3 linked regions of the Astyanax mexicanus genome follow. Each later gene encodes a partner of the first gene's protein in a complex. Links are inferred from orthologs where the notes say so. Each region holds a gene or a part of one and is shown on either strand. Other genes may lie near its edges. The genes, in order: cytochrome b-245 light chain, ncf2 and rac2.

Region 1 (10,023 bases):
GCACTCATAGAACGCCTCTTAGCCAATCACATTGCAGGGTCAGAACTAACTGTGGTATAATGTGTATTATAAGTATCAATATGTGCATAAAGCTTGTAAGTCTGTCTGCGCTCTGTCCCCTGTCTGCCAGTGTACTCCCTGTCCCGTTTGTTTGGGGTTGAGGGGGAGCTGTCGGGGGTGGCGCGGCAGGGTTCAGGCAGTGCCTGTAGGAGTATGTATGGGGGCTTTGTCCAGTGGAAGATGGGTGAAAGAGAGGATGGGAAAGACAGCCTGGCTGAACAAGTCGCAGCTGAGAGTCACTGGCCAGAGCTCAGAGTGCTGGTCCTGGTGGTGAGTACTGGAGTATCTCTTATCATAACCATACCCGCATCTTTATGCATCTCATATAGTATTTCACACTTACATTCTTAACTGCCTGTTTTATTTATTTTTTTGTTACATTTTATTTTTTATTTTCTTGACATGGTTAAATTTTAAATATTTTCTCAACCAAAATAACTAGAAAAGGTTTAGTTTGTAAACTATTTGTCTCCTTGGCTGTTAATATACTAAATAAGATATGTTTAAAATAAAAAGTATGTCATATAATTGTCATAAAACTATATGTCAGGGATCAGAAAACATATTCAACACCAATTTATAAAAAATATGTATTTCTGTGATCCCTTACACTTTCCAGATGCCCAATGTCTGTCACCACCTCTGAGTATTTCACAGCCATCCTCTCTGACTTACTGCTTAAATAATACAGTTCTTTATCTATTTATTCATCTCACTAGTTTCTTTAAATTTGGAATGTCACTAGGTGCAGAGATTACACAGCTTAAGTCAGGAATACTCCATCAACAGAGTGCCAGTCCTATCACTGAGTGCAGATACTGTATATTTAGATCTGTGGAATTGCAGTTCTAGTAGAATTAGAGGATAGTGATAACTAGGCCATTGCAAAACAAAAGAAACCTGATTAATCAATGCATTTTATTACTCTTTACAAAGGCATATCTGATACATTTGAGATATTGTGTGAAATGAAATGATTGGTTCTTGTATGATTTCAGGTCAGTGCAGAGCGGAAGCCTGTTGGAAGTACCTCTGGCATGCAGACGAGTGTTAAGACAAGCCAACTGTTGAAGGTTTGCTTCTGTTTGTGTTTGTGTAAGCATACTGTGCATATTAGCATCAAAATCTATTTTATATAATAAGTTAATTAATTTATGAATTTGTCTTGTACGCACAGAAAGGACACCCTTTTTATTTCAGAAATGTATTGAAAATGAAAAAGGGAAATTACCTATCTGAATAGCCCAGTAAGTAAGAGGGCGCCTATCTTTTAGGCTTAGTCCAGAACACGGTCACAATCTTGAAAGCCTCCATCAGGGTTCGTATGGTCATGAAAAACCTGGAAAAGTCATGAAATTTAAAAATGGCAATTTCCAGGCCAAGTTTGGGAAAAATAAAAATGCCCAGAAAGTTTTGGAAAAGTCATGAAAGTTTGGCCTACACATCTTTGTGCATCAGTTTATCAATGGAGAAAATCTATTTTGAGCTCCGAGTTAATTCATTAATTTAAGCCTACAAAATGGAGCTCTCAGGATCTGACACACATTTTATTAATAAATATTGTGTCATTATTTTTATCAGATTAATTTTAGACCTATTATATTTTATCAATTTTGATTATAGTTTTGGTTGATTTTTGGTTTTATTGGCAATGATAATCGTATAGGCATGGAAATGTGCCATGAAGACATGGAAAAGTCATGAAAAAAATAATAGAAATGTATTGGTTAAAAAGTGTATGAACCCTGCTCCATTTTTTTTTTCTGAAACAAAAGGGTGTCCTGCCAATTTTGACTCAAGACATACATCAAAATGTGCATACACTACCCCGCCAAACACAGAACAGTTAGTATAATGTTTTGCACCCTTCCCCTGTAGCACCGTGCAGACAGTGTGGTTCCTGGCCGTATGGAGGAGATGATCAGTGCCATCCAGAAACGTGACTTTGCAACTTTTGCGGAGCTGACCATGAAGGACAGTAACCAGTTTCATGCTACCTGTCTGGATACCTACCCTCCCATATTCTACCTTAACGACATTTCACGAAGAGTCATCAGCCTGGTCCATCGCTACAACCAGCATTACCAGGAGACCAGAGTGAGTGTAGCCGACAGGTTTTTACCATAACATAGTCTTACGACTATCTCAGGTCTTGTAGGATGTGGCATATATAGATATTTCTATGGACTTCTAACTTTGTAAAAAATAAAGGTGCTACAGTAGACGATGCAATAAAAAAAAAAACATTTTTACAGTTCCATTAGAAACCTAAAATTAGATATGGGCTGATGTGGGATTTTTGGGCCAATGCCGATATTACACATGTATATACTGTATCTGTCAATGCAAAACTTACAGAGACTAGACAACCCAGTATAGCTTTAGAAATAAACAGTTATCTGCCTTACATTTAATTTTTTTAACCAAAGGAATACAAACAGTAACATGTAAAGAATCAATTTCTGGTTTTATATGTATTTAGGTAACTGGTCCTTACATAGACTAGGCAGTAACAGGTTAAATAAAACAATAGAGTTATTAAACAAATAAAAAATAATAAAAAATGAGTTATTTTAAATCAATGGATTTTAAAATAGTGCGACCAGTGTCTGCCAATTTCAGTACTACAGCCAGCATCTCTTTGTTGTTTTTCCTGCATACAATACATATGTCAGGAAGTATCTGTTAGAATTATTGGCCAAATGCCAATGATTAAAAAATAAAATAAAATAATTTGTCGATATCGATATAATTTCAATATCATCAGGCATACCTTCCCAACATTGTAGTGTGTGAGTGTGAATAACCTTTAAAAATATATTTACATTAAGTAAAGGATATTTACACTCTCACAGCTCTTACAGTTGTCTTTATGGAACCAAAAAAGTGTTTCTTCTATAGCAGCACTAAGAGAATCCAACAATCCAACTCACTGGGGCCCAGTAGTCACAAAATGTAAAATCTGGATATTTGATCCAGAGGCCTGTTATCAATAACTGAGACACCCCTGTCCCTTTTCTGTAGAGATATATGTAATATGCATGATTTAATACCAAATACCTTTAATGTGTGAAACATAGGGGCACATTTGTAACAGAATTCTTCTGAAAGCAGGGCAGTGCAGATGCTTTTATGCTCAAAGTTTACTGTTAACTGAGTGTGTCGCACCAAAGAATCCAATATATTTTCCATTCTGTGGCCAACCAGTGAAATGTTGGCATTGGAATCCTCCTGTACAGGAACTCAGTTGTGACATTGATTTAGTGACCAAATGCTTGCTGGGCTTGTAGATCATGAATGTGTTGTAACGTATTGGACCCAGTATCATACTGTATTCTATGTGGTTATAATTCATCTGATGAACACTAGAGGGCCCCATCTGTGTATCAGAATTACTGTATAGGAAGTTCAACACCCTTAATATCACTGAACAAAAAAAAGTCTTGATAATGTATTTTCTCCAAAAAATATATTTGTTTGCCTAATTGCATTTTAATTGTTGCAAAGCCCTGTTTTTTTAAGATCATTATAATATTTATTCTAAAATATTTCCAGTAAAGTTGACACAGCCGCTGTGTCACTTGTGTATAGAAACACATGACATTTATATACAATGCATGTCTTTAGCAAGGAGACTAATTCTGTTAAATAGTGAATATTCCTAATAAAAGCAAATCTATATTTTCCAGGTGGCATATACTTTTGATGCAGGTCCTAATGCTGTGATCTACACTTTGCAAGAGCATGTGCCTGAATTCGTCCAGGCTGTTCGTCATTTCTTCCCTCCAGAAACCAACGGTGGAGAGTAAGCTTTTCATTTCAGACTGATGCAGAATATAATCAGATTTAAACATTGATCAGCCATAAAATTAGTACCATTTGCTTAATATAGTGTAGCATCCACTTTTGCCATCAAAACAGCTCTAAAACATTAAGACATGGGTTCTACAAGACCTTTGATGGTGTCTTGTAGCAGCAGGTTAATTAATAAACTGGTTAACAGGTTGTCCTGGTACTGACTACTGCATACCAGCATGCCTGATGTTCTGGAGATGTTCTGACCCACTAATCTAGCTACTAATCTATGCTTAACGTCCAACACATCAACTGGAAGAACTGCCTGTTTACTTGCTGCTTAAAGATAATCAGTTATATTCACCTCAACTTCACTCAGTAAATGTTGCTGAAATACATAAATACATGTATATGTTGTACATCATGCAGTTGCATGCATTAAATGAGGTTGTTGTCTCCAGGTTTGTAAAAGGCCTCTCTGTGGACTCTGCCTCGTTGTCTGAAGAACTGAAGAGAGCCATTGGGATGGAGCCTGTTCCGAAGGGCATCAGCTACGTCATCAGCACTCAGGTACGTGACTCAGACTTGCCTCAGATTTAAGGAAACTGTGCTAATTTCCAGAACAGTAAACAAGTGTTCAAGGAATGGGCTAAATCCTGTGTAATCATTAACTTGCAGAAAGATTAGGAATCATCATTCACAGTAATGTGTGTGTTTTTTTTTGTTGTTTTTTTTTACAGGTTGGACCGGGTCCGTGTGTGGTGGAGGAACCAAACCTTCATCTGTTAGGCCCAGATGGACTTCCCATGAAGAGCACCTGAGTATTAACAGGAATCATAACTGGCCTAAAGGAAAAAGAAACTTTAAGTTCAAGATGAAATACTTCAGTCAAAATCTATTTAAAAACAGAACAAGACTTTTAGTTTTTTTTTTTTATTATTGTAAGATTTTTGATTAATAGGATAAGAATTAAGAAACTATTGATGAACTTGATTTGTTCAGCTTTTGTATAATTTAAAATGCAATAATGTCTATTTACATAATGTTTGTATGTATGTAATTTTGTGTAGATTGTTTGAGTGTATTTTTCTAGCTTTTTGAAATTTGTTTGGTAATGTTCTTAAAATATACACAGCTGTTGATGCCATGAGTCTGTATTATTTTATAACTTTTTTGTGGCCAGTGCTTTCTTTCTTCTTTGCTATTTCTTTATTTATTTATTTAAAACAACAAAAACAACATTTTCCGAAATGCAAAGTAGTGCAGATATATGTACATATATGATCCGACACACAGTAAACCAAAATATAGCAAAACATAATAATAACTAACTAAAATACAGTACATATTTTAATAAGTGACACTGTTTAAATTAGTTATAAAGTTATGTGTCTAGTCTCTAGTAAATTTGCCAGTGACATTACAAGTACAACAGGGTACAAATATATAATTTAAGTACTAAACGTACATATAATTGTATAAGTATAATGTAAATGTTAAAGGAAATTAAACAAAAAATCACATGTATTGTTCACATGTATACATTTAAAAAAAAACACTTATTTGACAGGTATGTTTGGAACCAGATAGTCTGTGTTATTCTGACTGATTTTCTTTTCTTTCTATTTTTTTTCTTTTTACTTTTTCTTTTCTTTTTTTATTTAATTTATTTCCATGTGTTCCCGTTTTGCTGGATTCCAGTATATCACAGGGTGGGTGGGTGTGTATATATATATATATATATAATATATATATACTAAGTATATATATAATTTACTGCCATAAAAAAATCAGCAGGGTATAAACAATATAAACAATGCAAGAACCAAATGTAAAAAAGAAAGTTAATTAATCTTAAGTTTTAAGTAATTAATTAGTTACAATTATACATTTTAAAAACACTTATTTGACAGGTATATTCAAAACCAGGTAATCAGTGTTATTCACTTTACTAGTTCTAATCTTCTGACAGATTTTACTTTTCTTTTTTTCCATGTTTTTCTTGCTGGATTCCTGTGTATCACATGGTGTATTTATGGTAATTGCACTGTTATAGATATGAGTTATGGGGTGTGTTGTTATATTTAGGTTAAAACTGCTCTACAGGCTGAATACAGTCACGCCTGTTGAAAGCGTCCTGAACTAGAGGAAATGACGCGGTCAGTGGGCGGGGTTTGCGCGGTGTGGCTCCTCTCACCTTTGTTCGCTGTATAAAGTTAGAGTGATTGTATTAAAAGTGTCAGTAAATCATCATCAGCAGTAGCAGCAGCTCCTCCACAGACCCTGTGAGCTCTTATTACCAGACCCGGAGAAGATGGGGAAGATTGAGTGGGCGATGTGGGCTAATGAACAAGCCCTGGCTTCTGGACTCAGTGAGTATCTCACAACTCTGGAACACTTCTCATAACAGCAGTATAAAGCGAGGGGCTCAGCAGAAAAAAGATACATGTATATATATGACTGTAATTATGAGGATATATACACAGGTTGGTGATGTCACTTAACAGCCCGGTGTATACAAACTAGCAATACAAGTTTAAAAACAGGAAAAAAAAAACAGTCAGTGGAAGTCAGACATGCTTTCACACAATATATATATATATATATATATATATATATATATATATATATATATATATATATATAACAGACCACTTCAGTTTCAGAATCAGTTTCCCTGATTTAGCTATTTATAAGTATATGTTTGTTATTTTTTTATTGTTGTTTTATTCTATAGGCTACTGACAACATTTCTCCTAAATTCCGAATAAAAATAGTCATTAAGAGCATTTATTTGCAGAAAATGAGAAATGACTGAAACAAAAAGATGCAGAGCTTTCAGACATCAAATAATGCAAAGAAAACATGATCATATTCATGAAGTTTTAAAAGTTCACAAATCAACCATTGGTGGAATAACCTTGGTTTCTAATCACAGTTTTCATGCATTTTGCCATGTTCTCCTCCACCAGTCTTACACACTGCTTTTGGATAACTTTATGCCTTTACTCCTGGTGCAAAAATTCAACTAGTTCAGTTTGGTTTGATGGCTTGTGATCATCCATCTTTCTCTTGATTATATTCTAGAGGTTTTCAATTTTGTAAAATCAAAGAAATTCATCTTAGTTAAGTGTTCTCTTAATTTTTTTCCCAAAACTGTACATAGATAGTTAGTACAAATGTGTACAATACTATCATTACATTTTGACACAGTATAAAAACAGATTCACATTATGTGCAGGATTTTAAAAAAGACAAAAATGCATACACAATACTGAGTCTACTAAAATCAATAGTTTAATCTTTTACATATTTACATAACTACAACTTGAAATTTGTAAAATGTAATGGCAAAAATAGAGGTACAAATCTGAAGGTATTAGGTCTGTCACGATAATTACATTATCGGCGTATCATACAATAAATGTCACAATTTTTGTCACATTTTCACAATAATATTTGACCGTGATATCCTCTATTGTGTTTATTTGTATGTTTGTTCACATATATATAACAGTAAACAGAATTTTAGCCAATCATGCAATACCAGACCAGTTCTTTAGTCATTAAAATGTAATGGAGTTAAAAAGACAATAATGCATTGCAATGTATTGATTGCAATATTTATTTCTGGGACAATATATTGTCCAAAAATTATTTTCATGACCGGCCTAAAAGTTACTAAAATCACTGTATATTTTTATGACTGTGAGTAACAGTGTATATTATGGCTTTTTGACATAAGAAGCCGCAGATCAGGTTAAAGTAAAATCTGGTGTGCTGAGCTGATGAGGAAATTCAGGAGTGATTCATGAAATCTTTTTTTAAACTACTTCCCTGTTTCAGTTTATCTAACTGGAGGAATCGTCGGAGTTGCTGGACAGTTAAAGGGCTGGGAGTACGCTGCTTTTGGGATGTATCCTTTAATATGAGTGACTGTGGACTGATTTAATGTTGACCAGTTGTCTGTCATCTAGATCTACTCCCACTTGTGGATCATATGAGTCCTAAAATGTGCTCCATCTGTTCAGTTTCCTTATCTGATCCTTCCTTCTTTGTTTCTATATTAATCTAGAATGTTACAGTGCAAAAATAGGCCTCTCTGTAGGACTGCAAACACTTTACTCTTTCTAATAATGCTGTTTAATACTTCTTCAAATATTTTGAAGTGATATTCTATTGTAATTAGTATTTGTATAAATAATTACTGAATTGTATTGAACTTGTTCTAAACAAGCACAAACAGTAGAGAGTAAATATATTTATTTGTTAGACTGAACTCATGTGTTGTCTTAGGATTTAAAATGTATTTAATGTAGTCGTTTTTACATTGCAAACATCTTGAGATCAGCAAGACTACATCATATTGTCAGTCAGACAATGTATATTTAATATAAAGCAAACATTTGGGCACCCCTGTTCAAATGACAAATGTTTTTTTTAAGAATAAATAGATAAACAAAATGAATATACAAAATCTATCATTTGTATTTCTTCACTGTCTAATGAAAAACAAGTATCTCCAAAATGGCAACTTTACAGGAGAGAGATAAAACCTACTTAACTTTCAATGGAACAATGTAAAAGTTTATTTTAGGTCATTTTGGACCATTTAAATTGATCAAATTACCAAGAAATTTTGACACAGTGTACAAATCATGCAGTAAACTAAAAATCCACAAAAATTTAATTACTTGTTTTTCATTGGACAGCAACGATTTGTTTTTAGGTATTAACATATGAGAGGCAAATATAACAGTATTGTAACTTCTTGGAAGACTTGACTTATTTAAATACAGAAAATCCTCAACGTATTTAATCTGGCTGCCCAGACACTTGCATAAGACTGTATTGTGATTCTCTGGTTACAGTCTCTTGTTTCTGTTTTCCTTCATAAATTGAGCCACGTTTTTATAACTAATTGAATCGAACTGAATCATCTTCAGTTTTGGATGCTTCCTTAAATAGATTTTTAACATCTGCATAGCTTCATACTTCATACAGGTTCATACAGTACCAGCATATACTTCATTTTACACATTTCATGTAATTTTATTAAAAAACATTAGTTCCAGATGTATGAGTGTGTGTGTAGCTGTGTAAGTGAAAAGTTAGCGGTTGCTCTTCCGCATAGTTTGTTACCCTTGACTAGCGCAGAGCTGCAGGTGTGTTTGTGTGTTTGCTTGAGTACCCCAGGAGCAAGAGGGCTAAAGGCACCAATTATGAGAGAACGTGAGTAATGTCTTCACACTCAGCTCTTTCTGCTAGACTGCCTTCAGGAAACGGATTCTATTCTGAGCCCAAAACAGAATCAGTTATTTATAAATGCATTTTACAGAAAACCTAATAAAAGGTTGTTCGTCACATACACAGTAGTAGTGCAATGCTTTGATGAGTGTCTGATCACATGAAACAATATGATAAAAAAGATCAAATGTATAGAATTAATATAAAATATGTGATACTTTGTTATTTACAATGTTTATATCATAATACTAACTTTGTAACGTCTTTCTTCTTTTGTGTGCCTTTCTGTCTCTTTTCTGCTGACAAACAGAATTTCCCCAATATGGGACTAAAAAGTATTATCACACCCATTAAATAAATAAATAAATAAATGAAAGAATAAACGACATAGAGACACATATATAGAGATAATAATACAATTCATTAAAAATTCCCAGAGCTCTCCTTATGAGCATTTATTATTATTATTTATTAATAGTTATCATATCAACACATGGACGTATTCAATGTATAAAAACAGTTTATTTTTTAGTAAATTTAGAGCATTTCTATTGGTCTATTCATTCAGAATAATATGCACGTAACACAAAGCCGCCACAAGATTTAAACAATGGGTAAAACAAGTAAAAATAGAATAAAAAGGAGCAGATTTTTTTTATTGGACAGAAATGACATGGACTAAATACATACCATATATAGAAACTATATAGAAAGTAGAAAATAGTTTAGAAGTGAACACCTGCTGTATGAAGATCCTGGTTATTCATATTTCATTGTTGTGTGATGTTGTTTTGTTGTTGTTGTGTTTCAGTGGTCAGTACTGCTTCACTGTGTGTGTGAAGGCATTCGGACCCCTGACTAGCAATTACTACGTGAGGGCGTTCCTGCATGCAGCGTGAGTACCTCTGCTTTATCTCCATT
Region 2 (10,896 bases), on another chromosome or scaffold:
TAGAGTTGATTGTCCACATAACCTGTCAAATATATATATATATATATATATATATATATATATATATATATATATATATATATCAAAAATGCCGTAATCAGAAGAAATTTAAAAACAAATGAGAAAAACCTGGAAAAGGTTACCAGGCTTAAAAAGCTTTGGGTCTCCAGTGAACCACTGTGAAAGCTAATATTTACAAATGAAGAAAACATGGAACACTGGTGAACCTTCCCAGGAGTGACCAATCAACCAAAATTATTCCAAAAGGGCAAGGACAGCTCATCGAGGAGGTCACAATAGAATCCAGAACAACATTTTAAAGACTGTAGGTCTTTTAGCTCAGTTAAGGTCAGTGCTAATAACACATAATACATAATGGCCCGTCTCACAATTGCCAAAAAAAACATCTTAATGATCCCCAGGACTTTGGCTAAATATTTTTCGGACTGACGTGACAAAAGTGGAACTTTTTGGAAGGTGTGTGTCCCATTGCATTTGGCATAAAACTAACACATAATTCCAGAAAAAAAGAATACCACACTGAATGTAAAACATGGTGGTGGTAGTGTGATGGTCTCAGACTGCTTTGCTTATTTAGGGCCTGAACAACGTGCTTTTATAGATGGAACCAGGAATACTGCTGGTTATCTGTTTGTGACCTCAAGCTCAGCCGTACTTGGGTTCTGCAGCAGGACAATGATTCAAAGCACACAAACAAGTCCACCTCTGAATGGCTTTAAAAAACAAAACAAAGGTTTTGGAGTGTCCTAGTCAAAGTCTGGTCGAAATGCTGCGGGATGATTTTAAACAGGACGTTCATGCTTGAAAACCCTCCAATGTGGCTGAATTACAACAATTCTGCAAAGAAGAGAGGAACCAAATTCTTCCACAGAGATGTGAAAGACTCTTTACCAGTTATTGGTAAGCTTGATTGCAGTTGTTGCTGCCAGTGGTGGCACAACCAAGTTGTTAGGTTTAGGGGCAACCACTTTTTACACAGGTCTAGATTGGGCTTGAATAGTTTTTTCCTTTAATAAATAAAACAATTATTTAAAAAATTATTTTTAAATTTATTCAGGTTATATGTGTCTGATTTTAAAGTTTGTTTAATAATCTAAAAAATATTGTTATGACAAATTTCACACCTCTATTTTTATTTATCTAATTTTCTGTTTACAATCATATGTAAGTCCAAACAGTTCTTACCTCACTAGCATAAAGTTTATACCTCAGGCCAAGAGGTTTGTAGTCTATCAACTGGTTTCCTCTTAGCTCCTTAAAGGCTTGCTGGAAGTCCAGAAGTGATTCCTCAAATCTGTAAGGAGATATATTTAGATATTACGCTTTATTTAAATCTGCAGTGCAAGCTCTACTGATAAAAAAAAACGAAGCCCTTTCTCAACATGTTTCCTGTTAGTGAAACACTGTGGGCACTGCAACGTTACATCAAATTCCCTCCAGTTTCACAAGGCAGACAAGAGACACACCACAAGCTAACATTTGTGGAAAATGTAGCTAACATATTAAAGATCATGTACTTCAACACATTCTGGCTGAATGGATTTGGTCATCTTATTTTAAAAGGAAGTGTTTTAATCAGACAGTTTTGTGTGCAATAAAGGAACAATCTGGTGCGCAATTAACTTTGGGTGTAGTGTAGGGTGACCAAACGTCAGTATTTCACGTCCTGTCCCAGGCGTCCCGGGTTTTTTTCAAAAAGTGAGGAAATGTCCTAGTTTTTAAATGACCTTCATTGGACCATTAAATTTACAGGCACTAGGGCACTGCGCACGGCGCTGCATGTGACATAATCCCTGAGCCGCCTCAGTGAGAGCAGTAGTGTCAGTCTCACAGTCAGAGCACCTAGACCCCAAGGAACAAGTATGAGTGTAACCAAGTGACAACTAAAATGTGTATTTAACTTAAATATTATGGATTTATTGTGAAAAAAAAAAAAAAATTAAGCATAGATGCGTTTTGGACTCACGCAACAATGCAAAAATCTCTGAAGGATTTTAATAATTATATTTTATGGTAAAATCTATAGTTAGAGAGTGGGGACAGGTAACAATGCTATATATATATATTTTTTTTTATGTTGCTAACATTGGCTGCTTTTGCTGTATTTCGTAATCCAGAGGGCGTAAGAATATGTTTTTTTTAAACAAACGTTTGTCATGTTTCACTACATCCCAAGTCCATTTCACACCTGATTTCTGCTTTAATGTCATGATTACTTCACCAGACACTTTACAGTTTTTCAGATCAGGGCCAGGCAAAGATATAGCCTCCACACAACAAGGTCTGGTTACATATAACAGTGTTACATATAACCTCCCCAAAAAACATAAAAAAAGTCCATGTCCCCTCATATATCAGTGCTATTGTTCTGATATGTATTATCAGAATACAATTTGCCATTTATGAGATGTTTTTATTTCTCTAATCCTGTTTATTTAAGTTCAGATATGTATGTGTGTTTTGACATGCCAAAAGTCATGGAATAGCAGTGTGCAAATTTATTAATTGTGAAGTATTGTTTACATCCTGGGACAGCTTGGGAGTACGAACACCTGTAAAAGTTGCGAGGTGTTGTTTTATAAGTGTGGCTGAACACAGGCAAAGTGAATTATGGGAATTACAGCAATTTCTAATAGTGGGTGCCAGATAAATGGATCATTCCATTTCTGAAATGGTGCAAGCACAGTAAACAGCACGCACAGTGGATGGTAATGACAGTGACCAGTGGTGTCTGGTGAGAAGTCACATCCATATGCAGTGCAGGAGACGGGCAGTGCATTGTTCTTTAGCTTAAAGACTAGTCAAATCTACACTGCCTGGCCAAAAAAACGTAGCCACTAAAAAAAAGTTCACACAATCTAATATTTGGTTGGATCACCTTTAGCTTTGATTGCAGCACACATTTGCTGTGGCATTGTTTTAATACGCTTCTGCAATGACACAAGACTTATCCAGTGTTGCATTCATTTTTCACTGATCTTGCAATGATGATGGTAGAGTCTGACCGCTGCACAAAGCGCAGAACATCCCAAAGATTCTCAATGAGGTTAAGATCTGGACTCTGTGGTGAACAATCCATGTGTGAAAATGATGATTTCATGCTCCCTGAATCACTATTTTACAATTCCAGCAACATGAATCCTGACATTGTTATCTTGGAATATGCCTGTGCCATCAGGGAAGATAAAAGAATTCATTGATGGAATAACCTGGTCTATATTCAGTATATTCAGGTAGTGAGCTGACTTTTTTTTCCCCAGGCAGTGTACTTTCAGCCACTGTTTCAATTAGCTCTTTAGTCTGTTACACTAAAAATCCCTATGAGATGTTTAGGGTTTTTGTGTAAAACATTTTGAAAACTCTTTTATATATAATATTTTTCTAATAAAATATTTAATTAAAATTATTTAGCAAAACAAAACAAAAAAAAAACATTGATTCAACCTTCACACTTCCCTACTTATTCTGTTGCATGTGGCAAAATTAAACATGGTACTAAATAATCACTGAAGCACTTACTTTTCTTTTTTGTAGAATGTAATTCCCCTTTGAAAAAAAGCCACAGCCAGATGCTCATCTTTTCTGATACTGCAGTCAAATGCCTTGAAATGAGAGATTAGAGAGTTTCCTCTTAAAAGCCTGAAACAACTTTTACTTCTCCTTTTTCAAAGTAACATTTATTTTAAGAAGAACATTAGAAAACGATACTGTAGCATTCTGTTTTACAATATTTTAAGTTTTGAAGCTACTTATTATAATCTGATAACTTTATCTATGACCTTTTTGACAAGGCCAAGAGTCTACAGTCGACTTTACCTTCTCAGCAGCCTCAAAGTCATCAGCGTTCAGATGGAGGCATCCAATGTTGAAGGCGATTTTAGAAGTCTTCTCCTCAATGTCCTGGAATGTCCTGAGGGCTGCGGCTACATCTCCTTTCTCTGCATAAGCCACTGCTTCATCCCACTGCCGCAGAGTGCTCACAAAAGACATGTTCCCTTCACTGCTGCTGAAACCTCACTGAAATGGCTCTTCCCTGTTATTGAGAACCAACTCAGCTCGGAACAGCCTCTTACTGTCAAAGAGGAAGTGCTTCAATCAGAGCTGGCTGCTCATTATTTCCTATGGCAGATTAACTTTCTCTGTAACTGTATTAGAGCTGGCACAGGTCCAGAAAAGACAATGGACTGAGAATCCCCCCCTCCATTCAATTTTATTTGTGTGGTCATTTTACAACACACACATTGCCACAAAACAGCTGTTCCAGGAAAAGTAACCCAGAAACAAAAAAATGAAACCAGCCCCATGACTGTCTTGTGCAAGGCTGATGGATTTGAGATCTTTTTATATCCCTCCTCAGACTCGTCTACATCTACAACCTTCTTTCTACAGTCCTCAGAGAACTCTTTGAGTTATGAAACTTTAGCAATCAACAGCAAACCAGACTTAATATCTGAGGTTTAAAAAAGACAGGCTCCTCCAGAATCCTCTCTAACCATATTCTAATCAATCACAGCTGATGAGCTGGACCTGGTTTAATAGTCTCAAAAGTTGCATTGACATATACTAATAAAGATTAAACAAAAAGGGGATGACAATTTATTAGGTTAATATAATGATTACACTCAGAGAACAGAAAACAAACATTTGAACATATTTTTAAGCATGGGGTGCTGTTAACCTGCGGTTTCTGAGGCTGGTAACTATGATGCAACAGAGGTAATTTTCCTGGAGCAGTCCTGATGAAAGCCAGTTTCATTTTAGATGGTCTTTGTGACTGCTCTTGGGGATACTTTCAAAGTTCTTAAAATTTTTCGGATTAATTTACCTTAATTTCTTAAAGTCATTTTTTTCTTTACTTAGTTGAGTAGTTTTTGCCATAATATGGATTTGAACATAATTTAAATAGGGCTATTCACTGTATACCAACTATACCTCTTTACAACTTTACAACTGATGCTCTCAAACACCTTAAAAGGGCAAGACATTCAAGACATTACTTCTTGACAAGTTCAGCACAGCTGTTAACTGAAAGTCATTCCAGGTGACTCTACCTCATAAAGCTGACTGAGAAAATGTTGAGATGTTTAAAACTGTCATTCACGCAAGGTGTTACTTTGAATAATGTAAAATATATATTTTTTAAATGTATATGTATTTCTTCATAGTATGGGTGACTTTAGTAATAAACTATAAGGCAGAAAATATGTAAATATATGTAGCTTTTTACTATCTTGAAACTCTGTATACAGGTGTATACCACAACAACTGGTTGAGTTTGAGGAAATGTATAAAACGATTTTGTGACCTAATTGCTCTTGGTTCACATCAGTACAACATGGCAACATTTTTCATTTGAAAAATGTGTGATTTTAAATAAACATTTCTCCTAAATTTCAAATAAAACTATTGCCATTTAGAGCATTAATTTGCAGAAAACGAAAAACAGAATGAAAAAGGAGTTTTTATATAAATAAATAATGCAAAGAAAACAAGTTCATAATCATAAGGTTTTAGAAGTTCAGAAATCAATATTTGGTGGAATAACCCTGGTTTTTAATCACAGTTTTCATGCATCTTGGCATGTTCTCCTCCACCAGTCTTACACACTGCTTTTGGATAACTTTATGCCACTCCTGTTGCAAAACTTCAAGAAGTTCAGCTTGGTTTGATGGCTTGTGAAAATTCAACTTCCTCTTGATTATATTCCAGAGGCTTTCAATTTGGTAAAATCAAAGAAACTCATATTTAGTAGTAGCCCATACTGGGGAGGATTTGGCAAAGCGACATTTATCTATTTAATATTTTGTTATGATTTTAATATTATTAATTAGGATTATTATAAGATTATTAGATTATTGTTTCATCTTCTTATATTTTTCAATAACGCATAATTGTCTGTTTTTATATGAGATAAAAATCTGTATTTATGGATTAGGAGGAGTTTAGCCATTCACGGCGGCGGTTTCCCGGGCAACCCGAGCAGCCAGTGGTGTGAGAGGAGGAAGCGGCTCCAGATCTCTATGGTCAGAGAGAGCCATGGCATTTCCTGTGAGTGTAAACAGAGCCGTCGGGCTGCCATGGCCTCGTCCTTTAGGTGAGGGGGAAAGAGCGGCCGCCGGAGCGCTCTCTCCATGAACCAGCAGCCGCTCTGCGCCGCGGGAGAACTGGGCGGTGAGGCATGAGGCGCTGGTGTTAGCGAGCGAGCTACCATGGACGTGGGTTCAATGCTGTACAACAGTTTGAAAGATGTGACCTGGAGCTCCACCACTCTGCCCCTGGATCGGCTGGTCAGCGCCTACAGACTCCCGCAGATTGTGAAGCTGGACGGCGGTAAGGCTGGACTTATAAACTGGACTTTAATAAACTCGGCTGCAGGTGTGGGATGTGTTTTTGGGCGGCTTTAGTTGGTACTAGGCGAGTTTTGGCTCGGATAAACTCGCTCCAACTCCCGAGCGTGGGTGGCGTTGTAGCTCGCCTGGAATTCCGAGCATTAGCTCTGGCTGGTTAGCTTAGCACGCCTGCTAAAGTTAGTTAGCTCGTTAGCTCCATTGTCAGTGCTGGTGGACTGCTGGCCATCATAAAGTTAGGTTAGCCAGCCTTTAATAATAATAATATTGCAGCAGGGAAGCGTTAGCTAGCTGTGTTTTATTAGTGGATATCTAGGTAATCTAGCTAGCCATGTTCTTTCTAACAGGTCAGGTCAGTGTTAACCACTGAAACTAAAGTTACAGTCCATAATGTCGAGTAACAAAAATATTATTAGCTAGCTTAGGTTAGGTATTCACAGACTAGAGGTGGGTAAGGCAGCTCCAGAAAGTAAAAATCCACCACAGGGTTTTGTACCATCTGCCAGCTGCAGCAGAGCCGCCCAGGCAGTTGGTACAAAACCCGGGGATGGATTTTTACTTTCTGGAGCTTGCTTACCCACCTCTATCCCAGACTCACCATATTGCTTATATTTTTTTAGTTTAAACGCCAATGTTGAATCTAGTTTACTTTAGGTGTTGTCAACAGAGTTGAAACCGCTGACCTAGTTATCTAGGTTAGATAGTATTGTTCTTAACTATGTTATGTGCAGCTAAGGCACACTGAACTATAGCTAAAGCACTAAAGTCAGGTCCAGCCCGTAAACCTGCTAGCGGTTAGGAGCTGTAAATCACAGGATCCGCAGAAAGGTTGGTCTTCTTGCTCTCTCTGTTGGTGTAGGAACTGGCTTGACAACAGAGATTTGGTTTACTTACAGAGAAAGATTGCCCCAGTGATAACTGTATGCATATGGTTGTCAAGGCTGTCACAATTTGAAGACATTTACTTAATATTTGAATGAACAAAGCTTGGTTCCAGATGTTTGTTGGACACAGTGTTCAATTCCATCACCAGCTTCCCTGATATAACGTCATTAAGCACTGACTTAGCAAACTAGGTGTTTGATAATAACCAGGCCTCTCACAATAATTTGCTACATTATTGACTTATCATACAATATTGTGATCAACAAACCTTTTTTTTGTTAACACTAATATTGGCCTTTTTGTTTAGTTTCTAAGATGAACGCATTAGCTAAGTTTGTAAATTTATTTATTTTTTTGTTATAATTAGGGCTGCAACTAATGAGTGTTTTGTTAGTTGACCAATCTAACGATCAGTCGATTAGTCAGCGATTATTTTTACAATGTTCTACATCTGTCAAATGATAAAAACAGCTAAAAAAAGATTTATACGCCATTTAAATGTCTAGATGTTGTTTAAACATGGAAAGTTCAGAGACACAGACTAAGTTGAGTGTAACCTGTGTGAGTAACCCATTTATCTCACATTGTGTTTCTGTCCATAGCACTTGTGTGTAATGTGTACTGTTACGGTCACAAATTAAGTATTAGTTGACAATGAAATTTGTAGTAGACAAATAAAAAATATATATAACATTGTCGATTATATCGACTTATTGTTGCAGCTCTATTAATAATTAGTAGGTAAATGCTCATTAAAGATGTTCATTGACGACTAATTGTTAACCTGTAGCACTAAGCAAAGTACGAAGGTCAGAAACACAATGGGAAAAGGGTAACACTAAACTTGACCTGCATCTCCAAAAGTGCCCAAACACATCAGATGACACACACTAAATAGCTGCACCATCCAGAACAATGTTCAGGACATTTAAAGAGCATTTAAATCCCACATTTAGCTGTTGCTATTGTTTGGAGCGACAGAGAAAGCTAGAAGGAAGAAAAATAAAAAAAAGTAAGGAAAATAAAGTTTTTGCACTATACTGTATACATTTAATATCATGCTTCTACACAAAAAAATCTGTCCTTTAGCTCTGTGATCACAAAACTCTCATCATCTTATTTCACCTCCCAAATGTGCTGAAATGCTGAGGTAATATTACCGTCTGTCTTAAATTCTGAAGTAATTTGGGACAAACCATTGAGGGAAAATTCTGGGAACTGTCTGGCATAATCTCCTCTGCCTGCATCCACACAAAGCCTGAATCATTAATAAGGAACCCAGATGAGCACTTTAATGGCACCCTGCTGTCTGTGACACATTCACTTCACTTAGTCAGGTCAGGAGCTGAAAAGATGAATAACTCGTCTGGGTGGGAATTAGTGAATGAAAGTGATTTGCATGGAGATGCAATCTGGAAAGGCTACATCCGTAGATTTTTATGTAAATGACTTCCCTGAGCATTCCCTCGAGTTGAGAACGCAGGCTTGATATTAGCTTAATTAAATTCAGAGGGCTGGCCTGGTTTAACTCTGTTACAATATTTCAGTGTTGCTACATGAAACATTTATTTGTGTTGAGATTATATCTCTGAATGCCTGCTTGTCTCTGTGGCCTTACCTGACTTATTGTGCTGATACTATAGTGTCATATTTCCATATTGATGTAGATAAGTGTCTTTTTCTCCAGGGGAATCGGTGGAAGGGCTAAGAGAAAATGACTACCTCTTGATTCATTCATGTCGGCAGTGGACCACGATTACTGCTCATAGCCTGGAGGAGGGCCATTATGTCATCGGACCGAAAATCGAGATCCCTGTCCATTATGAGGGTGAGGCCTCTCATAGTGTTGTGTAGGGCTCTCTCTCTCTCTCTCTCGGCTGTCCGCAAACACTGTACATTCTTTTTGCTGTGTTAACAAGATGTATGTATATGCCTTGCTCTTACATGTGTAATATTTTTAGACATATAAAACACTAAGTAATAACAGAACAATTGTCGGGAACAAAACATGAAACAGTTCAAGCCAAATAAAGCAGAGAAATTGTCATCATAGTAAAGCTATTGCATCTGCTATGTAGGCTGCAGCATTTTCCATCAGTTTTACGCTGGCAGGCAATTATCTAATTGACCCCTCCATATAGACGTCACTCTAGTGACCGAACAAATGCTGAGGACTGGAAAAAAGGTCATTCACTTTCAGTTTGAAAATTGATGTTCAATAAGTGGCAGTAAATTCCCTGATATTTATGTAGCTACTTAAATTAAGAACATCAACCCCATTGTTGCAGCTTATGTTAATAAGTGCTCCAGTGATGCAATCTAGTTTTAATGCTTTGCAGTGTGGACTTTGCAATGTTTGTTTACAGCAGAGGACGTGGTCTGATAAAGTTAATCTTTTAATTTCCAGTTGTAAAAGAAATGAAAGTGTAAGCCCAGTGGAAGTGTTATTCCCTGCTATTTACAGCTATATTAAGTCTAAACGTTTTATGCAGTAAAAAGTTTTATTTATATGTATAAATATATTTTTATTTTCGCTACTGGTTTGAATTTTTTTGGTTAGAAACTATCTGCAGGTTAGGTTTAAAGCAGGAAACATGAGTTGTGTTTGACCGATGGAGATGGCAGATAGCCTTGTTTTTATAATTCTGCTGAAGGTTGCCATTTTCAAAGCTACACACACACTGCAAAAGCAAAAAATCTAAAAGAAATTAGTAAGGACTATTTCTGAAAGCCATTTATATGTGACCTTGTTTCCATATGACAGAACATAAAGAGCAATAAACACAAATAATAATCCAATTCACTACTTTAAATTTATTTTTATAAGTGGAAGTATTCACCCTTGAATCTTCTGACATTTTGTAGTGCTACAGTCTGGAATTCAAAGATGTTTTATTGAGATTTTATGTCATGAATCAGTATCAAGTAGTCCATTGTACTGTAATAAAATTCAGGTGTAGTCTGCAAATAGTTTTTAAATAAAAAGCATCACATTATTGCTCCAGTATTCACCTCTTTAAAATACTTTTAAATCCCCTAAATTATTTCTGGCTCAATCAAATGCTATCAAAGTGTTTCCAGAGGGACTTCTGAGCTTGTTAGATAAGTATTGCCTAATCAAACTGCATTATGAAGTCCAGGATAAAGTCAGAGTTTGGTTATATATATATATATATATATATATATATATATATATATATATATATATATATATATATATATATATATATATATATATATATATATATATACCAAAAACTTATACCTTTATTAAATAATCCATTGAATACATATAATATTATATCATTTTATTAAAGATTTCATTTGTGTATAAAAGGCTGTTACCCAATAATCAGTGTGCAGATGTGGACTCAAGAGGAGCTGGACAGATGGAAGAAACCCTGTAAAGGACAGTCAGAGTCTGGGCACTTGGCTGATTTTTATGGAAGAAAGCCACTGTTGGAAGTTGCCAAAAGAAGTGTTGAGAACTCAACAAATATGTGGAAAAAGCTCTTCAGTCAGATGAGACCAGAATTGATCATTTTTGGCATTGTTCCTAACTTTAAAAACATCATTCCCACAGTGAAGTAGCATGAATACGAGGATCCAGATGTGCAGCGCTGATTGGCTATTTCCCAAAATG
Region 3 (10,247 bases), on another chromosome or scaffold:
TCTACCAAATGGCCTTTGTGTGCAATACAGGATGCGAGAGGTGCTCATGAACAAAAGCTGACACAACACTCTCGCTCTGTCTGTCTCACACACACACACACACACACACACACACACACACACACACACACACACACACACACACAGACACACACACACACACACACACACACACACACACCACAGCATCAAAGTGGTAATGTTTCCATTATCCTGGTTAACCTACATTTTGATAAAATAACTAAATACTCATAAAAAAATAAAAAATAAAAAATAATAATTAAATTGTATGTATTATGTAAAGTTTACTTAAAAGACTTAGTATGCTTTAAGTATAAAACCACTAGACTAGTAGTTTACTGAGAGTAAAGTGAGAGTAAAGTATATTTTAATAAGCTAAATTAAATATGTAAACTACTTGTGTACTCAAAGTTTTCTAAATGTATAAATAACGTACACTTAAAGGTAAACTTCAAGTGTACACGTAGTAAACTAAGAGTACATTGCTAGTTTACATTTAAGTTTTATTTTTGTATATTATATATTATTTTTGTACATATTAGTAAACTAGTTGTGTAGGCAGAGTGCACTACTTGTACACCCAAAGCACTCTTAAAAGTATACTTTTTAATACTAAATTGGGCCAATTTAGTCCCAAGAAGTATTGAAATAGTGCACTTACAAGTCAACAAGTACATTGATTCTTTATACTTGCTACATAATATATACTTGGGGAATATATTTTAACTTCTTAGCTGTAAGTACCTTATGTTTCGCAGTATAAGGTGCACTTAAAATCCTTTAATTTTCTCAAAAAACGTCATTGTGCCTTATAAGCCAGTGCGCCTTATATATTATTTTGCTAGTCAGGTTGTAAGAAGCAGTAAAGCCACTTTGCTGAAGTAACAGCATTACACATGAGTTTCAGTTTAGTTCTGAAGCAGTATTAGCATTAGCCGCTAACCGCCATTTCCCCATCTAGAGGTAAGTATTATCAGCCTGTAGCCTGCTGCTAAGCCCAGCTGGCCGTGTTGGAGTAGCATTAGCATTACCCGCTATCTGTGGTCGTTATTTACCCGTTCAGAGATGAGTATTATCGGCCTGAAGCCTGCTCCTAACCCCAGGTAGCCCTATTGGAGTAGCATTAGCATTACTCGCTATCTGCGGACGTTATTTACCCGTTCAGAGGTGAGTATTATCGGCCTGTAGCCTGCTGCTAACCCCACCTAGCACTGTTAGAGTAGCATTAGCATTACTCGCTATCTGCGGCCGTTATTTACCCGTTCAGAGGTGAATATTATCGGCCTGTAGCCTGCTGCTAACCCCACCTAGCACTGTTAGAGTAGCATTAGCATTACTCGCTATCTGCGGCCGTTATTTACCCGTTCAGAGGTGAGTATTATCGGCCTGTAGCCTGCTCCTAACCCTGGCTAGCACTGCTGGAGCGGTTAGCCGCTAATGCTAATACTCCAGCCTAGTGCTGGAGAAATTCAGTAATCTAAACTTAGTGTAAATAAAAGAAAGCACTTTACTTACCCAAATAAACAGTTTTCAGGAGAGGACTCTGTGTAGATTAACATCCAAAAAAATACAGTAACTTACACTTTTTTTCATAAGGGAAGGAAAGCAAACCACACTGTTGCAGTTACAGTTAGAGCTGCTACAAATAGGTATTTTATAGATTTAAAGCAAAAAAAAAAATGGGTGGCTGCAAAAAGAACCATAAAAAACCTCTCAAAAGTTAAAATAGGTTGATTTAGATGTTCTTTGCTCATTTTTAAATATTCTTCACACTTAAATTAAGTGTTTTTTTCTATGACATCACTCAACCATTATTCTTAACAGATAGTTCCTGTAAGTGTGTACAGGAAACTCTAGACAATACCAAGAACCGTTTTTAGTATTTAGTAGATCTTCTTGACTTCTTAATTTATTTTACAGAAGTAAGCACACTAGAGCATGATCTGTTTTTACCCCCCTCTGTTGCTCTGGTCCTCTCTGATCACAATTGCCATCCTATTCTACCCTCTCCTGGTGAGGCATTAGAAATGCAGGGTGGATGATGATCTGTCCTAAATCTCAAAAGCCCCTTATTTTCTAAGAAGCTAGTGCACTAAAAAGTCTCAAATGGTTTTAAACACTGCTTTGCATCCACTCAACTGTGATCAGTTAGTGCACTATTAGTAGATTAGTGATAAGTGACAAATCAGATTGAGAGTTTTCTTACTTTATGCAACTGAATCACGACACAGTTAAGTGACATTGTAATCTAATTGGCCCAACACACATTTTAGACCAAGATTCCCAGATTCTGCTTTATAACATTGAGTTTCTACAGGACTTTTAATCCTCTTCCCTCAAGTTTGTTGCCAAACATGGTTGAGAGGCCTGTTTCTGTTTAATTTCGAATGAAATATTATTTAATATATTTAATAATAATAAGAAGAAGAATAAAAATACATTTTCACAATACTCAGTTTTATGACAACAGTAGTGATTCTTTTTGATACTATTACATATTGGGTATGTGTTTATTTTTATTCAAAGTAAAGTGCAGTTCATTTAGTTAAACAGGAGTAATTATGTTTTTTGTAATAAAATATACATTTGGGTTAATGTTCCTGTAATAGGATATTAACAGGTTGTTTTTGTTTTCGCCATTGAAATGAACTTTCACTGAAGGCGATGTAATAAGTTGTTAATATTTTTGTGATATTCTTTGTAAAAGATAAATTGCCTTTAGAACTGTTAATTTTTCATTTCTTTTATTTACTTATTTTTCAAAATCAACTTTAATAATATGAATACGTATATTATTACTGTGTCTGCCTAATACACAGTAAAAAAATAAGGGCCACTTAAAAATAATGAGTTTCTTTAATTTTACCAAATTGAAATCCTCTGGCATATAATCAAAAGGAAGATGGATGGTCACAAGCCATGAAACCAAACTGAACTGCTTGAATTTTTGCACCAGGAGTAAAGCAGCATAAAGTTATCCAAAAGCAGTGTGTAAAACTGGTGGAGGAGAACATGTTAAGATGGGTGAAAACCGTGATAAAAAAAAAAAACAGGGATATTCCACCAAATATTGATTTTTGAACTCTTAAAACTTTAGGAATATGAACTTGTTTTCTTTGCATTATTTGAGGTTTGAAAGCTCTGCATCTTTTTATGTCAGTCATTTCTAATTTCTGCAAATAAATGCTCTAAATGACAATATTTTTATTTGGAACATATACCTGTAAATATCAAAATCAGAGAAACTGAAATGGTCTCTTATTTTTTTTTTCAAAGCTGTGTACTGTAACACAGGCTATACTTCAGCAACGTTCATCCTCAATAATGCATTTTAAATTATTAATGACTACAAATTTGTTATTTTATTTAGTGTGACCAGTTATCAGTCGCCTCTTAGGCTTCAGTATTATTTGCTAACTTTTTCTTGGAGTTTAATTAGTTTAGGCTCCTCCCACACTCTACAGCCTTACAATAGAAGCAGGAAGCCAATTTCTTGTGCTGTTTGAGGCCTAATAAGGTAATAAAGATAAATTAAAATGAACATTTAATTGAATAATTTGTTTCTGTTTTTTTTTACCAAGTGTTCAGTAGCTAGAAATAGTAAATATCTTGTATGACATTTTTTCTTTGGCATTCTAAGCTTTAGCTTTAGCATGTTCTGTTGGCTTTTCTGTCGGGCAGCATTTTAAAGTAGATGGATTAAATTCTAAAGTGTGAAACTAACTATTTAAGTTAAATAGCAGTATTGTGTATCATTATTTTGATATACAATTTAATAACAAATATAAAATGTAGCAATGAGGCTAAAATGGGTTTCTAAAATGTTCTGTTTCAATTGAAATGTCACTTAGCTAGGTAAGCTAAGACATACCTGTCAAGTCTCCCGTTTTGGCCGGGAAACTACCGTATTTTACTCCTCTTTCCCGCCGTCCTCCCGTATTAGTATTTTCCCGTAAATTTCCCGTATTTTATTAAGATAAAAAAATATATATTATTGAGGATACAGGGCACTGACCGCTCTGTGTCTCTTAACCAATCGTGGAGCCGGTTCAAGGAGAAAGTCCCGCCTTTCACTAGAAACAGCCAATCAGCTTGCAAGGAGGGTCAGTGTGGGGAAGCCCCGCCCTCCTCGCTGTGAGTTCAGGCAGCTAGTTAAAACATACATGCAGCGATTTTTCTAAAAGAAAGGTAACGGTAGTCTAATCATGGAAACTGTGATGAGATTTTTCTGATAGCTGCTTAAAAATACTCCGAAATAAAACACACAGATTAAACCTTTTAAAATAAAAAAAATTACAGCTTGTGACTCAGTTTAACTAGAAATGTGGAGAGGACCGAAATTAACTGAACTAATCAGGGGTGGAGTGATCAAAAGGAATAAGTATTAATTAAAATTTATTGTGTAGGCCCCTTAGGACTAATTTTTACTGATGAAACATATCTGGTCCATGTCCTTTTAGTAAAAGCTCATAATACCATTTTAGGTCACCAACAGTCATTTTGCAGAATTTGTGCACTCTTTGTTCAATTTTAAATCCATTAAATAAATAAAAAATATATCATATAAAAGAGTGCATTTATTACAAAAAAGACATGAAATCTTAAATAAATAAAAAAAGATATAGAAAAGGGTTTTTAATTTGGCTGTATTAAAAGAATGACATATGTAGGAATGTCCACAACATGTTCAGATTCTGATAATCTAATTGTAGTGTGTAAGTGGTTCACATGTGGTTATTTTAGATTTTTTGTAAACCTGTTTTAAAATGTAAGAGATACTGAACCTTCGTTGGGCTGGTGGGACGGCTTTAAGCGGACAGAGGAAAATATCCCTTATTTTTAAATCTAAAACTTGACAGGTATGCTAAGAGAGCTTAGCTAGCTTAGCTTATCTAGGTAAACTTAAAGAGACTGAAAAGCTTATGATACAAAACAAAAGTGGTCTTTTGTCTGAATGTTTTTTTTTTTTTTTTTTTTAGAAAACAGAGCCATTATCAGTACCATGTTACCTGCAACAATCTTTAATGTAAAATGAGTTAGATGCAGAAGTAAAAACATTGGTTAATTGAATTAAATTCCTCATAAGCAGCATCCAAGCACTTCATTTTCATAGTTTCCACTTGCAAGCTAAATAAAAGATGCTGAAAGGGTTTTTTGTTTGGCCATTCCACCTTAAACTCTGCAGCCTGCTGCACCTGGCTATAATTTAGCAGGCTGTACTGTTTAAGGTGGAATAGCTAATTGTTGCATAATTTAAGGTGATTTAAAATAAAATATTAAAAAAAAAATAATAAGCTATCCAATTCTGACATATAAATATTTAAAATAAAAACCAGAGTCATGTAAACACTATAAAAAGTGTTACAATTAGGTTTACCAAAAGGTTTGTTTAACACTTTTAAGTTACCACATGATTCCTTATATATTCTTTCATAATCTGGATGACTTCAGTATTCATTTACAATGTAGGAAAAATCAATAATCAATTAATGTAAATATGTCCAAACGTTTAACTGGCACTGTAGTTTGAAAATAAAAGAACCCAATGCAAAAATGAAAGTGATCCAAAGTCTAAACCCTAAATTCTGCTGATTTTAGAAAACAAATTGGTGGTCAAAGCTGCTGTGGTGTAGGAAACCTGTTGTGAAGCGGAAGTGATTTAACAGAGCTACTTAATCTACGCTTAACTGAATTAACTTAACTATTTTTGTCTCTCTTTAAGGAATTCCTGCTTTTATCCTTTCAGGTTTTTTCATTATCTATACATTATTTGCTCCTGCGTTTTATACAAATCAATTTCTCTCTTTATTTACTTCTTTCTTTCTTTCATTTTTTTCTGAACATCTGAACTATATACACACCCTGCATGTGCTTCAGGGAGCTGAAGTTCTTATTTCCTGCTACATGACCAGTTTCAGGTGCTGTAGAGCTGATCTGCAATCAGTCTAGCAAGTTACGAATGACATGAGCGTGCATGTGCAAGACTGGGCGGCTCTGAGGCGCGTAGATTCAGTCGAGTGAAGGGAGGAGGAGGTAGAGCAAAGGGAGGAGGAGTGAGTGGAGGGGGGGAAACACACTGACAACTTTTCTGAAACAGACTGGTTTCCTGTATTGCACCTTCTTCACTTTTTGCACACTCTGGTTCTGTTGAGGCGCGTTAAAAAGCTGAAAAGAACAGCTCGGGGGGGAAGATGCAGGCCATAAAGTGTGTCGTTGTGGGTGACGGGTGAGTTAAAACGTGAATTTGCTTTATTTTTCTACTTCTTGTCTTAGTCTGAGGTGATAGTAGAGTGACAGTTTTGGTGTAAAGCGGATTTGGAGTGAACAAGTGATGGCTGTCATGTAACTGAAGACCGGTTGGGCGTTTATTTCCTTCTCTTGCTCTTTTTGCTGTCATTTCTTTTGTCTTTACGTCATTTACTTTTTATTTTCTGCCTTTTTGTGAATAAAAATAGTAAAAAAAGTTTAATTTAAGGTAAAATCTGATGTTTTAAAAGAAACAAAACCTAAAATTTATTAAAGGGAATCAGACACTTACATCCTTTACCTGGACTGGTCCAGATTCTTTTAATCTTTTTAATTCTCATGTTACTATAAAATAAAGCAGCTTTAGATGGGGATTTGCGATTGAAGAGTTTTGCATCTGGAAGTGACTCAACTCGATTTGCTTCAGTGCGGAACTTTAAGCAGCAGATTAAACTGGCCGTTCCTTCACTTGGATTGACTGTGGCCTGGTTCTAAAAGGTGTTCCTTCAGGTCTTCAGGTGTACATTGGAGTCTAATCACAGTGTAATCAATCAGATAGCCTACGCCTACAACTATCTGAAGTGATTGGAGCGGCCTAGAGCATCCTCCATTACTCCATTACCCTTGCTGGGTTTGAAATAAGCCAGGCCTCAGGGTCTTTAAAAAATGCCCCACATATATTACAAATAATGGCATATTTATTCCAAACAATGGCTGAAAACATTTCTGATCAAATTTAATGTTCAGAAATGTCCAGGCATGCTTAAAAATAGAGCTACCAAAGACTACTGTATGTAATGCCATTACAAAACCGCCACTTTTGCCCTTAAAAGCCTTCAAATGGATGATTCTTTTGACCGCCATTTTTTTTTCGTAAATGAAATCAGGGTTTGATTGGAAGAACATTGATCAGTTTTGGGGAACACTGTACCAATGAACAAAAATTCCACACATACTTTCAAATAATTCCTAAAATGGCCCCATATGCCAGTGTTTCTCAACCCCCCAGTCCTGGAGGCACCCTGTGCTGAATATTTTAGTGTTTTCCTGCTTGAACACACCCACTTTTACTCCAGAATTGAGCTGATTAGTAGGATCAGGTGTGTTTTGATCAAGGAAAACACTAAAAAGTGCAGAGCAGTGGGCCTTCAGGAACCTGGTTGGGAAATACTGCCTCAAGCCATAGAAAAAAAGTTGTCAACTGTTGGTGAATAAAAAACTATTTTGAGTGCAGGCTTCTTGTGTAATGTGTAAAATGCGAACCTCAGCTCAGTATAATAGTTCTGTAACAATTAATTCAAGGGTTTTCTTAAACTAGTGTTAACTATTAGTAGAACAATTTTTAAAAAAGATACATAGATGTTCTAGTATGAAGAACCTTGAGGAACCATAAAAATGTTTCTAGGAATGGCCATAAATTGTTTAAAAGTGTGGATAGTATGTAGTGGACACAACATTTTTAAAGTCAAAAGATGGCTGATATGGAAGCTACCTGCCCTTGTTTGCACTAGAGATGGACCAATCAGTGTTTTTGGGGCAGGGCTTTTTGGCTTATCCTAACATTGGCCACTTCCATACCGGAACTGCACTTTGGAGAATGAAGTGGAAACTTTACAAAAATCACTGCTTATCCAACAATAAACACAGTATGAACAGTATGATTCCTTTAACATTTTCACTGCTGGTGCTGTTCCTTTGGTGGAGGTCTGCAGTGTTTGCTGTTTTGTGTTGTTAGTGGTGTTTGTTAGCTCTGCTTCTCACTGACAGATGCAGTCTGGACAAAATCAAACTCCAGCCCCACAGTGCTGCTGTGTAAACCTTAACTCCTGTATCGAATTGGCTAAATTAAGGAATTTTGACTGAAAATCAACTAATACCGATATATACCGATTGGCCTTTACATCTCTAGTTTGCACTTATTGTGTTTTGTAGAGAAAATCGAGTCAGAGCATGTGCACTAATTGTCCAAACTCCACCCACATTTCTTCAATGCAAGCTCTAACCTATTTGTCTATAAACTTAGAGTTACATTTCTGAGAAGAATAGGTAAAATAGGTTGCCTTGCTGCTTTTTTCCCTTTACTTACATGGCATTGGACAGATTGTGCTACAGCCAGCCACCAGACAAATTTTAACCCACTTTTCAACTGCTGCTGTCCAGTACAATCTTATACCCCAGCCAGCATTCACAGGTTGAGCTTACATTGTGGATAAAGTGGATCACTATAAGTGGGCATGAGCTCTAAATGGGTTTGTGTATGTGTTATTTGGACCCAGTTGGACTTCCCAAATGGACACCATCATTACAACCCACCTTAATCCCACATTCATATGTGGGGTCACGATGGAAGCCATGGTTTCCAACTTGATAGCACCCACACAAATACAGTATGTTATATGGGGAAACAAGCTATGGAAAGGAACCTTAAACTTCTCAAGAAGGACATTGAAGAAAATTTTCAACCATGGAAACAGAGATTTGGTTACTAGCTTAAGCTTTAAAAACACTGCACTACTAAGGCTATGCTTACATTACAAGCCACATTGCTCAAATCTGATTTTTTGGTCACATCAGATTTGGCCATTTTGACTATTCACATTCCCAAATGTAAGTGCCTTGCATCTGTGTGTAATGTTAATGAATATGTCCCTGAAACATCTCACATGCGCACATTGATACGTGTATAAAAGCCGCCTTCTTCACCAACAACAAAAAACTCAATATTTGAGAGACGACCCTTAGTTTTATAAAGGGAAATGGATGCGTTTTCTTAGCAGCTCATATGTGGAGCATCTTTTGCTGGAGTGGAGAGTAATCAGCTGGTCTGAAATACATGCTCAGGTCAAGGAAGTGAAAAATGACCAGGTGGTTTGCTTTTGCTGTTTTTGCAGCTATAGCTGCACAGCTGCACCAAGAGATTTGTGGGTACGAGAAAGAAGCATGTAGCACATGCGTAAAAGAAAAAGGACGCATGAATTCCCCATGATTTGACCGTTCACATTCATGTCGCATGTCTATGGATCAGATATGTATCTGATTAAGGACTACATATGAAAGCGACTCAAATTTAATTAGAAAAAATCTGATTTGGCGCGTTCATACAGCCATGAAAAAATCTGATCTGAGCCACACTGAGCAAAAAACTGATTTAGGTCACTTAAGCCTGGTAATGTGAACACAGCCCAAGAGTCAAACATGACCTGCAGAAACCCAGTTCATTTTGTCACACTTTTAAGACCATACAGGAAGTTGTTATGCCACGTTCGGAGTATGCTCAAATGATCGCTATCAGAAAAAGGAAGCTGTACTGTAGAGGCTTAGTTCCTGTCAGGAAGACTGACCCTTTAGGTTTAGCTTTGAAATCATTTAGAAGAGATGTTTTGGCCTTGGCAGTGGAGATTGAAGAGAAGTTAGACGTCTGACCATCTGTACAATCATTTCCTCAACAGTATTTTGCCAGAACTGAACTCTGAGTGCATAATATCACTTACAGAGATGAAGCTGTATCTTCTGTATGCTATCTACTACAATTAAGCTGCCTGGGAGCTTCTGAACATTCTGAATCTTCTGAAAGTTCACCCCACTGGTGTTATCGATCTAGACTGAAAACAAGACTGCACTAAACGTCATTGAGTCATTTGATCCCTCATGATCCAGCTGCACTACAACACCTCACCAGAATCTAAAAAGCATTCAACATTTTACAGCTTTACAGTCTGCCGAGCTAACTCTCACTCACACTGGAGTCACGTGCTAATGTGTTAGCCTCAGTATAACACACTAGTCACACACTAACATATTACTCACAACAATATAATACAGTACACTGCGACACAATATGTTCCGATATGGAAATCTGATATAAATTTGCACATATATGGACATGTACAGTACACTGCATTGGACGGAAGTATTGGAACACCTGCTCATAATCATTTATGTCTTCCAAAACCATTTTTTTATTTTTCATTTTATAACAA

The links.
Region 2: cytochrome b-245 light chain (region 1) and ncf2 share a complex: the UniProt entries of both Homo sapiens proteins name them as parts of the phagocyte NADPH oxidase complex. The link is inferred for Astyanax mexicanus from reciprocal best matches to the Homo sapiens genes CYBA and NCF2.
Region 3: cytochrome b-245 light chain (region 1) and rac2 share a complex: the UniProt entries of both Homo sapiens proteins name them as parts of the phagocyte NADPH oxidase complex. The link is inferred for Astyanax mexicanus from reciprocal best matches to the Homo sapiens genes CYBA and RAC2.

Annotation. Positions count from the first base shown.
Region 1 is NC_064416.1:13,290,946-13,300,968, reverse strand, and holds the start of cytochrome b-245 light chain, read left to right. Parts: upstream 1-6,047; 5' UTR 6,048-6,169; coding exon 6,170-6,227; intron 6,228-7,701; coding exon 7,702-7,771; intron 7,772-9,012; coding exon 9,013-9,087; intron 9,088-9,913; coding exon 9,914-9,997; intron 9,998-10,023. Other genes in the region: mvda (diphosphomevalonate decarboxylase), read left to right, coding at 131-330, 1,059-1,133, 1,939-2,157, 3,750-3,865, 4,317-4,425, 4,596-4,676. UniProt on the Homo sapiens protein: Subunit of NADPH oxidase complexes that is required for the NADPH oxidase activity that generates, in various cell types, superoxide from molecular oxygen utilizing NADPH as an electron donor.
Region 2 is NC_064415.1:33,923,857-33,934,752, reverse strand, and holds the start of ncf2 (neutrophil cytosol factor 2), read right to left. Parts: upstream 4,119-10,896; 5' UTR 4,012-4,118; coding exon 3,838-4,011; intron 3,624-3,837; coding exon 3,541-3,623; intron 1,316-3,540; coding exon 1,207-1,315; intron 1-1,206. Other genes in the region: garem (GRB2-associated and regulator of MAPK protein 1), read left to right, coding at 6,231-6,351, 8,941-9,081. UniProt on the Homo sapiens protein: Subunit of the phagocyte NADPH oxidase complex that mediates the transfer of electrons from cytosolic NADPH to O2 to produce the superoxide anion (O2(-)).
Region 3 is NC_064426.1:7,286,196-7,296,442, forward strand, and holds the start of rac2 (ras-related C3 botulinum toxin substrate 2), read left to right. Parts: upstream 1-6,066; 5' UTR 6,067-6,212; coding exon 6,213-6,247; intron 6,248-10,247. UniProt on the Homo sapiens protein: Plasma membrane-associated small GTPase which cycles between an active GTP-bound and inactive GDP-bound state.